Linked DNA regions of Cricetulus griseus. The protein of the gene in region 2 interacts with the protein of the main gene of each other region in a pairwise test. Links are inferred from orthologs where the notes say so. Each region holds a gene or a part of one and is shown on either strand. Other genes may lie near its edges.

Region 1 (6,494 bases), on a different chromosome or scaffold from region 2:
CGTCTCAGTATCATTTACTTAATGAATTCAGAAAATGTGCTAAATATCCAGATTTCTTCATGTTTTAAAGGTATTCGCTTTCTAGCTTAGAAAATCTTAACCGCTGAGCCATCTCTCCAGTCTTCTAGCTAAGAAAATCTAAGCTGTTCACACATTGTTTTCTGTAATCCATTGTCTTGCTTTGAGTTATCTGTTCTTAAAGGAGCCATAATTATAATTCCAGGCTTATCATTTTTCAGTAGATTCAACATTTGTGTGCATCTTTGGGATTAGATTATTTTTCAATTTCCACACCGCACACTTTTGCTTTCTAATTTTGAACATTGTACCTAGAACTGGGTAATTCTGAGAGTAGAAAGACAAAACTGTTAATTTAAAAATCTTTTAAAAGAAATTTGCCTTTGCATGTTTTGGAGTAGCATTTTTCTTTATTGTAATGAAATTGTGTTGGAATGAACAAAGATTCTTTTTTTTTTTTTTGATGCAGACTGCATGAGGCTTTATTGTTGTTTAAAGAGCTAACCCCATGTTAGCTCAGGTCTTTCACCCACCTGTCATGGCGGATGGCTAGCAAAGACAGCTAGAAGGGGCTGCAGAGAGATCTTGTAGGGCAGTGTATGGGGAGTGTTTAGGGGTATGCACAGGCCTAGGATTGGTGTGCCTTCAGGCTTGGAGGGCTTGCCCTGTGTTGATTGGTCAATTGGTTGTTATGGCCCATAGGCCTTCCCAGGGTGGTTGCTATGCTCTGCACGTCATTGCTGTGCACTTGTCCCATAAGCACACCCAGAGCAGTAAAGCATAGCACCACCAGCTAACTTCTGATTGGTTCCTTCCCACGAGACAGGCATCTGACTTCTAGTGACTAGGACAAGGTCATGGCGAGCACGAGTTACTGTCATGGCTGCTGAAATGGGGAGCTGGTCCCTGCATTCCCCCACTTTCTTTTTTGGAAATTTCAATCATGGAATTGCTGTCTCCCTAGCGTCCCCATCAGGGAGTGAGAGATATTGGCATCCCCATGCAAGGGAGTTCCTTCTGACTTAGCATTTTAACCAGGGAAAATGGGCAGCGAATTCTTTCCCATGCTACTCCCTGCTGACTTTGGGACGAAGTTAGGGACCCATGAACAAAGATTCTTGGCAATACTAAAATCAAGTGAAAACCTAACTGCTGTGCTGCATGATGCTGTTGACTGCATTGATTTATTAGACTATTTTCAGTCTCACTGACATTGTATTGTATTTTCTATGACAATATACAGCATCAATTCAGGTGTTGCTGAGCTTATACATAGCACAGTAATACAGATTATAAATTTATTTGCTTGGGAAATTAAAGTACTAGTATTAAAATTAAATTTTTGTTTTCTGGAGCCCTTTGTTAACATATATAGCTTTAGAAGAGTGTACTTATTGAAATGGTGATCTTATTCTGTTTGATTATAGATCTTATGCCTTCATTTATTCGCCATGGTCCAACAATTCCAAGACGGACTGATATCTGTCTTCCAGACTCAAGCTCTAATGCTTTCTCAGCTTCTGGAGATGGAGTAGTTTCTAGAAACCAGAGTTTTCTGAGAACTCCAATTCAAAGGACGCCTCACGAAGTAATGAGAAGAGAAAGCAATAGACTGTCTGCACCTTCTTCTTACCTTGTCAGGAGCCTAGCAGATGTTCCTCGAGAGTATGGCTCATCACAGTCATTTTTAACAGAAGTTAATTTTGCTGTTGAAAATGGAGACTCTGGTTCCCGATACTTTTATTCAGATAACTTTTTTGATGGTCAGAGGAGGAGGCCACTTGGAGATCGTGTACAAGAAGACTACAGATATTATGAATACAACCATGATCTCTTCCAAAGAATGCCACAGAATCAGGGGAGGCACACTTCAGGTAACTTGACATAATAAATAGCACATTGGTTTATACTTACATTTTGATTTAAAAGGTGATCTTCTGTGGGTTTTCTTGGAAAGAAAAAAGAAAAAGAATTCCTAGAGAAAAAGAATTTCCATTTTGCCATTCTTGCTTCTGCCTGCTTACTAGTAGTTTTTAACCTACAATGAATGACAGAACTCTTGGGTCTGTTTACTGTGCTGTCATACTAAACTTGATGTTTATCTCAAGACCATATTGACTGTTAACACTTTGGGGCTTGAAAATGTGAAAAATTTAATGTCTCTAGTTAGATTGAAATTAGATTCAGATTGGATAGAATGAGAAAGGTAAGTGTGTTAGCAAATTTGTCTTAAACCTAAGAAAGGAAAAGAGAGGAGGAATTGACTGCTAGGTATACAAAGTGTGGGCCATTGCACCCTGAGTGATCTAGCACTGTTTTTCCAAACCTTACTTTTTGTAGTCAATTATTATTTCTCAGGTTGGTTAATTATGTGTGAAACCTGCCTTTTTTTTTGTAACAGGTGGGAAACATTATGTTAATGAAGAGAGCTGCACTTTTTTCTTCTGACCTGGAGGTACTCCTCCAAGAAGGGGCTTATGGAATGTGGTACCTCCACTTGATTCCTAAAGCTGCCATATGGGACCTGGGGTCAGAACCCAAGTCTTCTGCTCATTACTGTAGATGAACTGATGCATGCTAAGAAGAAAACTTTTCCCACTTAGTAAATTGTAGGCTTTAAATCTGGCAGGATAAAGATGAGGATGATTGGTGTTTTTTTGTTTTTTTGTTTTTTCTTTAATCAGACACAACTTATACTAAACTGACTGACTTAACAATTTGGAATACAAATGTTTTAGCAATAGGAAACTTATCTTAATTTAATATTCATTATGTGTCTAGCAGTCCCCTTGGGATACCTTATATTTAGAGAGACAAAACCAGCATACACACAATAGTCCTAAAATACCTTATGGTTATACTTTGTAGTACTAACTGTTAGAGGGAGTCAGAAGAAAGATGAGTGTTGGTTAGAGGAATGCATGCTCCAAGGAGCAGATAGAATTTGAATTAGTCTTTGAGCTTGGACTTGGCATTAACATGGTAGGAGAAAGACATTTTAGGTAGAAAATTGGGGATACCCACTGCAAACAGAGTAGGTGTGGTTTACATTTAGGAGACTATGTTCCTACCTATTTTAAGAAATGTGATGTAAGGTGAAATGGAGACTCATGGTCCAACAGAAGGCTGAGACTTGAAACAAAGAAACCATTGCCCATTTCAAGATTAAATGCTTGGAGGGAAGGGTCAGTGGTTAAGAGCACTGGCTACTCTTCCAGAGGACCAAGTTCATTTCCTAGCTCACAGTCCTCTAACTCCAGTTTGAGGGGATTTGATACCCTCTTCTGGCCTCTATAGGCACTAGGCATGCAAGCGATGGAGTATATGTTCTCTGCCATCAAGATCTAAAAGAGCATTAGATCCCCTGGAAGTGGAGTTATCGGCAGTTGTAAGCTGCCATATGGGACCTGGGATCAGAACCCAAGTCTTCTGCAAGACAGCAAGTACTATTAACCTCTGAGCCATTTCTCCAGCCCCCAGTGATTAGTATTTTAAAGCAAATTAATGAGGTACCTGCTTCAGACATTTGGAGGGACAAGGGGAAAATGGGACACATCCAGATTCATAGAACTAGGACCCCTGCTGGGCGATGGTGTCACACACCTTTAATCCCAGCATTCAGGAGGCAGAGGCAGGCGGATCTTTATGAGTTCGAGGCCAGGCTGGTCTACAGAGTAGTTCCAGGATAGCCAGGGCTACACAGAGAATCCTGTATTGAGAAAAAAAAAAAAAAAGATTTTAGGTTATAACCAACATCTGCTTTTAATGTCAGTAGACTTCCATTCTGAGTCTCTTCTGTTTAAAAACAAAAACATTTGCCTTTTTTTTTTGTTTGTTTGGATACAGGGTTTTTCTTTCTGTAGACAGAGTTTTTCTGTGTGTAGCTCTGGCTGTCCCCTGTAGATCAGGCTGGACTCAAACTCACAGAGATCCGCCAGCCTCTGCCACCTCAGTGCTGGGATTAAAGATGTGTGCCACCACGGAGAGGCTAACTTTTAAAAATTACATTTGTCTTAGTTTGGGTTACTGTTGGCATCGAGAGGGGGACCTTGGCAGATCCCATGGCAGGTGAGGGACAAACAGAGCATGCAGACAGAACTTATGTGGGAAGTTTTATTGGGGGAAGGAAAGGGAGACAGGGGAGAGTGAGTGAGAGAGAGAGGGGCAAAGACCTGCCTGCCTCTTCAGAGGAACTGTGGGAGAGAGCGGGAGTGGGCGGAGCTTGTCTCTTAAAGGGACCTTTTGCACCTGCATATAGAGACAGGGTATTGCCTGCCATGCTCGAAAGGGGTGATGCATTCTGACAAGTGACCAAGGGGTGGGGCCAACGTGTGTCTGGATGCTAACACCATGGCCAAAGCAACTTGGGGAGGAAAAGGTTTATTTGGCTTACAATTTCATATTATTGTCAAAGGAAGTGAGAACAGAAAGGGCAGAAACCTGGTGGGAGGAGCTGCTATAGAGGCATTGGATGGGTGCTGCTTACTGGCTTGCTCCCCATGGCTTGCTCAGCCTGCTTTCTTATAGAACCCAGGACCACCAGCCCTGGGATGGTACCACCCAAATTGGACTAGGTTCTCCCCCATCAATCACTAATTGAGAAAATGCCCTTCAGGCCTGCCTACAGCCTGATCTTACGGAGACATTTTCTCAACTGAGGCTCCCTCTGATTCTAGCCTGTGTTTACATGAAACTAGCCAGTACAATGTGTTCCTGCGTGTGCACATAGGTGCGTGGGCGTGTGTGGAGGTTAAAGGACAACTTGCAGGAATTGGTTCTCTCCTTCCACCTTGTGGGTCCTGGGAATCAAACTCAGGGACTAGTGCTGAGTACTTTTACCCTCAGACCAGTTGATCTCTGAAGCTTGCTGGCTGACCAGTCCAGCTGAATTGATTAGTTGGTCCTAAACTTTTAAAGTTTTAAAGATCACTAAGAAATAAAAATTTTAAAAATTAAACTGAAAGTATCAGACTTTATTTAAAAAGTACTGAATGTATTTATTCCAGTAAATGTACAAGCATTTAGTTAACTAGAATCATCTTGTGGAAGCTGATACTGTTTTGTTTTTGCCGAGCAAGAGAAGTAGCAGTTGTCTTAGTTCAATACGTAAAGCCCTTTACCAACATCCTAATTAATACACATGTAGCATTTGTTATCTGTTACTGTGGTCCTTGTGGAACTCATGGTTCCAGAACCCACTTTACTGTCTTTAGTAAAGACAAATACTGCTGGATTTGGAAACGAGAATTTTTAAGTGTTATTTACACATATAGGGCTCAGGCAGCTTCCTAGTTGTTAAGGTCTTTTGAGGCATTCCCAGTGAAGTTTGGTAAAGATGAAATACTAGTTGAACCTGAAGGGACCAGTTCCCCATTTCGGCAGCCATGACAGTAACACGTGCTCGCCATGACCTTGCCTTGGTCACTAGGAGGTCAGATGCCTGCCTCATGGCAAGGAACCAATCAGAAGTTAGCAGGTGGTGCTATGCTTTACTGCTCTGGGTGTGCTTTTCGGACAAGTGCACAGCAATGACGTGCAGAGCGTAGCAACCACCCTGGGAGGGCCTATGGGCCATAACAGCCAGTTGACCAATCAACACAGGGCAAGCCCTCCAAGCCTGGAGGCACACCAATCCTGAGCCTGTGCATACCCCTAGACACTCCCCTTACGCTGCCCTATAAGATCTCTATGCAGACGCCTCGAGCCGTCTTTCCTGGCTAGCCTCCATGGTGGGTGGATGAAAGACCTGAGCTAACATGGGGTTAGCTCATTAAACAACTATAATAAAGCCTCGAGCAGTTTGCATCAAGCTTTCGACTCCACCTGGTGATTGGGGTGACCTTGGTACTGGGCCAGATCCTGGAGGCCTGAGCTTCCGGGGGTCTTTCAAACCTTCTTGGAATATTCTGTCCTTAGCTTGTGAATGCTTACTTTATATTTAATGGAGCATTTTTGTACAGTTACAGCCATACAAACAGAAACTATTCATTTATGAATAAATGCCAGTTACTATTTTCTGGGACTAATTTAAATTTTGGAAAACTGAGTTTTTAAAGTTGTAGCTCAGAAACTGAAGTTCTTTTATTTTCTTATTGATTAATTTAAAATTGATGGCTTGCTTGCTTGGTTTTGTTTGAAGAGTTATAATTGATCTTTTGTTGCTAAAATGATATGGTTAGTAATGTTCATTATTTGATCTTATACAGTGGGCTTTGGTAAAATAACTTTCTCAAACCTTTTTCTCCTTTCATGTGAAATGGTAGTAAGTCTCTTTGCTTGAGTTCCTCATGGTTGTGGTATTGTGTGCATTTTACTCCATGTGTTAGGACTGGTTTCTCTCTTTGTGATGTTAGGTTTGACCATGCTCTCTCCATGTCAGCCTGGTTTCCCATCAGGAACTTCTCCAGCAAGCTTACCTGTTGGTTTTGGGGAGTGGGTGATGATCCTTTTTGTTGAGTATTGAAAACTGTGATACT
Region 2 (6,594 bases):
TGTCATGATCAGCCATGTACCTTTCACTAGTGCCAAGAATCAAATGGGCCACTCACTCAAACTTAGCAGTGATGCTAGACAATCAGAATAAGCTGGAGAGGTTAAAAAGCAACATTCCAAATTCAAAACTGAGACCTCTAATAAAACATATTAACAGGCTTAAAGAGTTTGTTGTAGGATAGGGTGTGTGTGTGTGTGTGTGTGTGTGTGTGTGTGTGTGTCTACATAATAGTTTCCTGAAGCTACAAAAGACAACAAAGAAAAGACAGCTCAGGAAATGGTGAAATATGGAAGCAGTCACACTGTAAACTTCTTGTGCAGAAAAAAAGCCTGTATTAGCTAAACAATATCAATTCTTAGAAGAAATGACTTTAAATAAAAATAGAAAAATCAGAAGAATATAAAATTGAAAATAAAAAAAAAGCCAGACCATATGAAGTGCAACCAACTACCAATAAGCCCTGACCTCAGAGGGTCGATCCTGCAGAATTTTATAAAGAAAGGAAGAACCACAGAGAGTGGCTCTTGACTTGAAGAGCAACAAAATACACTGACTACACTGACATTTGAAGATTCAAAAGATCCTACAATTAAAATCCCAATGACTTCATAAAAACTCCCAACTTCAAGGCAAAAGGGCTGAAGTGAAACTCCCCTTAAACTTCAGACGTGATATTTTATTTCTACGATCTCAGAAATTAAAGCGAACAGCTCGGGTTTTTTGGTAAAATCCCCAATCATAGCTGTATAAACAATGGACAATACCTCATTCATCAAGAAGAAACTCTTATACACAGCTTATACAGAGGAGATCTGATTCTCTTTCAAGTGTTGACTCTTAACAGTTTAACAAAAGCCGAAGTCGCTATTTCAGAAACCACAGAACAAAGGAAACTGCCTTGGTCCTAAGAGACAGTTGCAAGACTCGATAACACTCAGAGAAACTTTAAACAACTGTTCACATGCCTTTTAAACAACATACATGGGAGTTTTGTTTTGCATCTAGAATGTTTAAAACACTTTAAACTTAAAGAAGCATTATTAACTCTGGTACCAAATAACCAAGAGATAGATGGTCAGAAAATATTTGCTAAATGGATCAACCAATGTAGGTGTGGCAATCACATAACCTTGAGTAGCAATCTTGTGTTCTCTATGTTATCAAAATAGAATTTTTTTGTCTTTTCTTCTCTCTGTAGCTTAGCTGTCCTGGAACTGGCTCTGTACACCAGGTTGATTTCAAGCTCAGAGTTCTATCTCCCTCTGCCTTCCAGAATGCTTCCAGAATGGTGCACACCACCACACCTGACTCATAATAAAATTTCATTGAAAATGCTAACTAGTAGGTTATCGACAAACACAATTTCTATGAAACATCTGCTAAGTGACTGAGACTTCAAGGACAAGACTATCACCCAAGTGGTCTGACTTTCGTGAACTGTGGGATGACATTCACTCAGAGGTGACATCCCATACTAGTTTTTTCTTGCTCATAATGAACAGGCCTGGCCAATAAATGCAATTGCACACACCAAATGTTGGTGATGTTCCTATCCTAAGTCAGCCGACACAAGAATGGCCAGCATTTCAGGAATGCACCCTGGGCCTTCCATTACACCATTACCCAATGGCAATTGACGTCTTAAAATCACTAACTCTTGCATTACACCATCCATCATCAACCACTGAGTCACACAGGCATGTCAAGCTCATGAATACAAACACTATTTCCTGCACTAAGACTGCTGGGCAGCACACCACCTGAACCTCTCAAGAAGACATCTCTATAGTTCCAAACACAACAAATGTTACAAAGTGGTGCTCAGATCTGGCTAGTTTTCAATCATCTGTGCCATATCAGAACTCTCAAAGGCCCATTTTATTAATGCATATCCATCCCTCTAACAAAATTTTGCAGATTACAACAAATGTAAAAGATAAACTGAAACATTTTAATAACAAAGTTGTCAGGGCCAATGGCTCCTCTTGGCACTCAGAGCTGGACTGTAGTGAGTTTGAGGCCAACCTGAGCTACAGTGTGAGGTCCTGTCTCAAAACAAACAAAAAGGCAACTAAATTAACTATGCCCTATCCTTCGTGCAAACATTAAGATTCTAAGCCAAAGAGTGTCAGGGTGTGAGATTGTATCTGGAGACAGATGACTCTGTAAGCGGAAGGGTTGAGGACAGGGACTGATAAGAACGAAGACCACATAAAATGTGGGGATAGATGGCCATTTGTAAGCCAAAGACACTGGACCTCAGACTTCCAGCCTCCAGAAGGGCAAATAGTTAATTTCTGTTGTCTAAACCATCTGGGTGTGGTATTTGTTACAGAAATCCAAGCCAGTTAGTACTGATGATAATAAAACCCAGCAGTCCACTAGTTACAATGAACAGGACAGCACCAATCATCCAACGATTCAGTCCTGCAATGCTCTTCTCTTGGAATTTATTACAGTTCTTAAAATCCAAAAGGTAGATTGGACAGTGGTGGCACACAACTTTAATCCCAGCACCGGGAGGCAGAGGCACTGGGATCTCTTTGAATTAGAGGCCAGCCTAATCTACAAAGCAAGTTCCAGAGAAACCCTGTCTTGAAAAACCAAATAAATAAATAAATATTTAAAAATAAAAAATCCAAAAGGTACAAGGATGAGCAAAGTCAAAACAAAACAAACAAACAAACAAAACCCAATCACCCCTGCCACAATCACCAAACACAAAGGGAGAAACAAAACTCACATTCACAATTCTCATTTTACTTAAATGAAGGTTTTTTGGGAAAGGGAACCAAAAAGAAAGAACAAATCTAGTAGTTACTGACTGCATACATACAATAACTATCTGCTAAGATACACATATACAAAGACCCAATGTAGCAGGTAACTTCCAGGGAGATGCCAGAGTAGGGAAGTTATAAGAACAAGGCTTTGGACTAGATCACCAGACATTAAAATTCCAACTCTGCCTCTTACTAGCTATGGAGCAGCTAACAAATGACCTGTTGCCCTGGCTTTATCATCTGTGAAACAAGGATACAAGGATATCCTCCTTATGCATTAGTTGTGAAGGTCAGTGAGTTAGTAAGTTGTACTATTTCAAAGTACCATTTTTTTTTACAAGTTCAAAAGTGGCCAAATACTGCAATTTCATATGGTTGAACAGGCAAGATGCAAAGCAATTAAAACAGTGCCTGGCACCCTGTAAGTGCTCTCTGGGTGTAATTAATGGCCGTTGCTATTACAGTCTCAGAACACCACACTAACAAGCTATTTGTTTTATTTCACGTTTATGTACTTCCAGCAACTCCCAAGAGTGCTCCCCAGGCTTGAATCCCCTCTCTTCACCTCTCAGTTGCCGGGCACTCCCTTATTCTGAACACTTCCTATTTTAGTGCTCCCTCTGCTACAGGAAGTCAAATGTCTTCTCTGTGAAACCGAAGTTTTTAGCTGCATCTGAGAGAAGTATGACTCCCTCGGGCTCTGTGCTCTTTTCTCCAGGTGAGGGGGAGTGGTCCAACACAACATCAACGAGTCCGGGACGGCAGACTTCCTAGAGTCGGTCATCTTGACCCAAAACAATTCCAGATACCTCTAGAATCTGGAGCTGACAGTATTGAAACAGAATTTGAAAGGGACACCGTCTGGCTGGATCTACTGTGTCTCAACTCTATTTACTGGACCTCAGCTAACCCATCTCGGGTATTTTCTTTCCTTATCTATGTCCCAGAGCTTTAGGTTTTGGAAGGATATGGAGAAAATTAGGCAGGCACTCAAGACAGCAGCAACAAAAGGCTCCACCACCATCATCACCATCCCCAAATCGGGACGACCCTAGAACACCCTCCATCACCCTCTCTCCATTACGAGACCCACGAAACTTGGGTACTGCCACAGTAAGGCAGTTAGGAGCAATGACTTTGGACAGGGCCACCGGGACACAAAATTCCCACTTTACTTCTTACTAACTATGGGACCTCCAACAATTTTTCTACCGCCTGCTGCCTCAGAAGCAATGCAACAGACCTTTCCTCACCGCGTGGTCTGTGGGATTCAAGACCCTCTCAGTGAGCCCCCGCTCATCCCAAACGGGTTCGCTTTCATCTACCCTCGGCATTCGCCCTAAGTCCTCGAGTCTCTTCCTGGGGAGCTTCCCCCGGCCTCGGCAGGTGTCTTCCTAACTTGTCCTCACGCTGCTCAGGCGAGTCCCCCACACAGAATGCTCCCTGTAACCGAGCCCACTTTCTATCGCGCCCAGCGGATGCTCCCTCACTCAGCAGGTGCTCCTGCAGCCCGCTCGCCTGTCTCGCGGGTCCCCCTCCGCCCGGGGCTTGCGCTCGGGTGTCTCCCCTCAGCAAGTTCGCGCCATCCCTCTCCCCACCCGATTCTCCTCCTCTCGGGCTACCGCCCCTCACCTGCGCGGCGGGTTCCTCAGCTGCACGGTCTCCATGGCGCTGCCGGCAGCCGCCCAGACCGCCTCAATGCTCCATCCTCCCGAAGCCCGCCCCGCAAACCCTCCCACACTTCCGCTTTCCGCCCCTACCGGAAGCAGCGGGCGGGGTTGCTGAGCGGCGCGGGTCACGTGGTGCTGTGGCTTGCAGCTATAGAAACCAGACTCCGAAGGGACGCCTCTCGGGCGGCCTCTAGTGGCTCAGGCGTTAGCGACACCCTCTCCTTGGCTTGCCTCTGAATGCCTGATTGCCTGAGGGCTCCCCAATTTCTCGCGCAGTGAGGCTTAGCAAAGCATGGGTTTGATAAGAATTGAGTTCTCCTTAGGGCCGAAGGGAAAAGCCCCAAGCGCCCTGTAAGCTAAGGCGCAGGAAAACAAAACTACCGAAATGTCTGCTCCGTGATTGGGGGACGTTTTATTGTAGATAAGAACCAAAGACATCTGAAAAGAGTCCAGAGCGAAGAGAAAAAGCTAACTGGCCAAGACTATTTCTTGGGGGCAGACAAAATAGTGAAGAGAGCCAGGCGGTGGTGGCGCAACCCCATTAATCTCAGCACTAGGGAGGCAGAGGCAGGCGGATCTCTGTGAGTTCGAGGCCAGCCTGGTCTACAAAGCGAGTTCCAGGACATCTGGGGCTACACAGAGAAACCCTGTCTCAAAAAACAAACAAGCAAACAAATAGCAAACAGAGATAATTGCGGATCGGGCCAAAACAAAAACAAACAAACAAAAAAAAAAAAAAAAACACGTTGCCATTACTAGAAAGCTAAGCTGCTGCAGAGCCGCTGTGGAGAGGAGTGAGCTAGCTTACTCTGAACAGTATGGGTGCTAGCATAGTGGAGGAGATGAGAAGGGCCAGGATGCTAGCTAGCATTGGGGGCTTAGTAACAGCTACATGTTACTAAGGACAAGGAGCCTGGAGGTTAGCATGGGCTCTGATGTGTAACCACAGCTATGTGTCAACAAGTACCTTTTGCCTTCAAGCAAGGGAAGATATTGAAAGCGGCTCCTTTTGGTAGACAGAAATTTGTGTTCCGGAGAATACACCAATCTATCCACCAGTAATCCTTTTGTTTAACCTGTCAAACTGAGCCTAGACTGTTGTTATCTTGGACCTAGTCAGTGAGGGGTTGGAGGTTCCTTTTGGACCTAATACGCCCCCAAAAAAGAGCAGTCCAACTGACTTGATCCAAAATGGCATTCTGGGCTCAGCTCAAGCTGGACTAAAGAATTGTTGGCAGATAGATCAAATCTCACAGATTTCTGTGGTTTCATCACGGCACCCTCACAATTCTTTTGTGGAGTTTGAGGCTTTTTTGTTTTGTTTTTAGTTTGGGTTTGTTTGTTGGGATTTGTTTGAGGCAGCATCTCACTGTCCATCCCTGGTGGCCTGTAACTTGCTATGTAGACCAGAGACCCTCCCCCCACCCTGCCTGCCTCTGCCCACCCTCCATGAGCTGGGATTAAAGGCATGTGCCACCATGATGGGCCAAATTTGGGGCTTTTGTTTGCTATCGGTTTTGAGTGTTTTAATATTTAACTAGCATATATTGGTTTGTTTTCGTTGAGAATGGGTCTCTCACTCTCGTAGCCCTGACTTGCCTGGTATTCCTGCTGCAGCCTCCGTACTACATGATCGCAGGTATCCCCACACCTACTAAAAACTGTTGTTTTAAAGTGAAGTCAACCTCAACAGAAGAGTCATCTGTATTCACTCATTAAATACATTTTATGGTCCACAAGATGCCGGGTACTTTACAGCTCTCTGGAATCCTATGCCTTACATCTCAGTTACTCAAGAGGCTTTCCTCAGCTTGCTCATGTCTAACAGACTCCACGTTATTTCCTATAACACGATTGCGTCATCTTGATCTTAAAGATTTATTTATTTATTATGTATACAATATTCTGCTTCCATGTATATCTGCACACCAGAAGAGGGCACCAGATCTCATAAAGGATGGTTGTGAGCCACCATGTGGTTGCTGGGAAGAGCAGTCGGTACTCTTAACCTCTGAGCCATCTCTCCAGCCCTAAACAGAAACGATTTTGTTTTAAAAGAGGTGCTCACGTATATCGGCCTCAGCCTCCCACGTGGTAGGATTACAGACCTGAGCCACCAAACCCAGCTACTTCGGATTTT

Evidence for each region.
Region 1: the proteins of Stk4 (region 2) and Sav1 interact in binary tests that used the Homo sapiens proteins (3 or more experiments, as listed by UniProt). The link is inferred for Cricetulus griseus from reciprocal best matches to the Homo sapiens genes STK4 and SAV1.

What each region holds. Positions count from the first base shown.
Region 1 is NC_048598.1:133,400,107-133,406,600, forward strand, and holds part of Sav1 (protein salvador homolog 1), read left to right. Parts: intron 1-1,445; coding exon 1,446-1,892; intron 1,893-6,494. UniProt on the Homo sapiens protein: Regulator of STK3/MST2 and STK4/MST1 in the Hippo signaling pathway which plays a pivotal role in organ size control and tumor suppression by restricting proliferation and promoting apoptosis.
Region 2 is NC_048599.1:15,441,542-15,448,135, forward strand, and holds the start of Stk4 (serine/threonine-protein kinase 4), read right to left. Parts: upstream 4,569-6,594; 5' UTR 4,452-4,568; coding exon 4,417-4,451; intron 1-4,416. UniProt on the Homo sapiens protein: Stress-activated, pro-apoptotic kinase which, following caspase-cleavage, enters the nucleus and induces chromatin condensation followed by internucleosomal DNA fragmentation.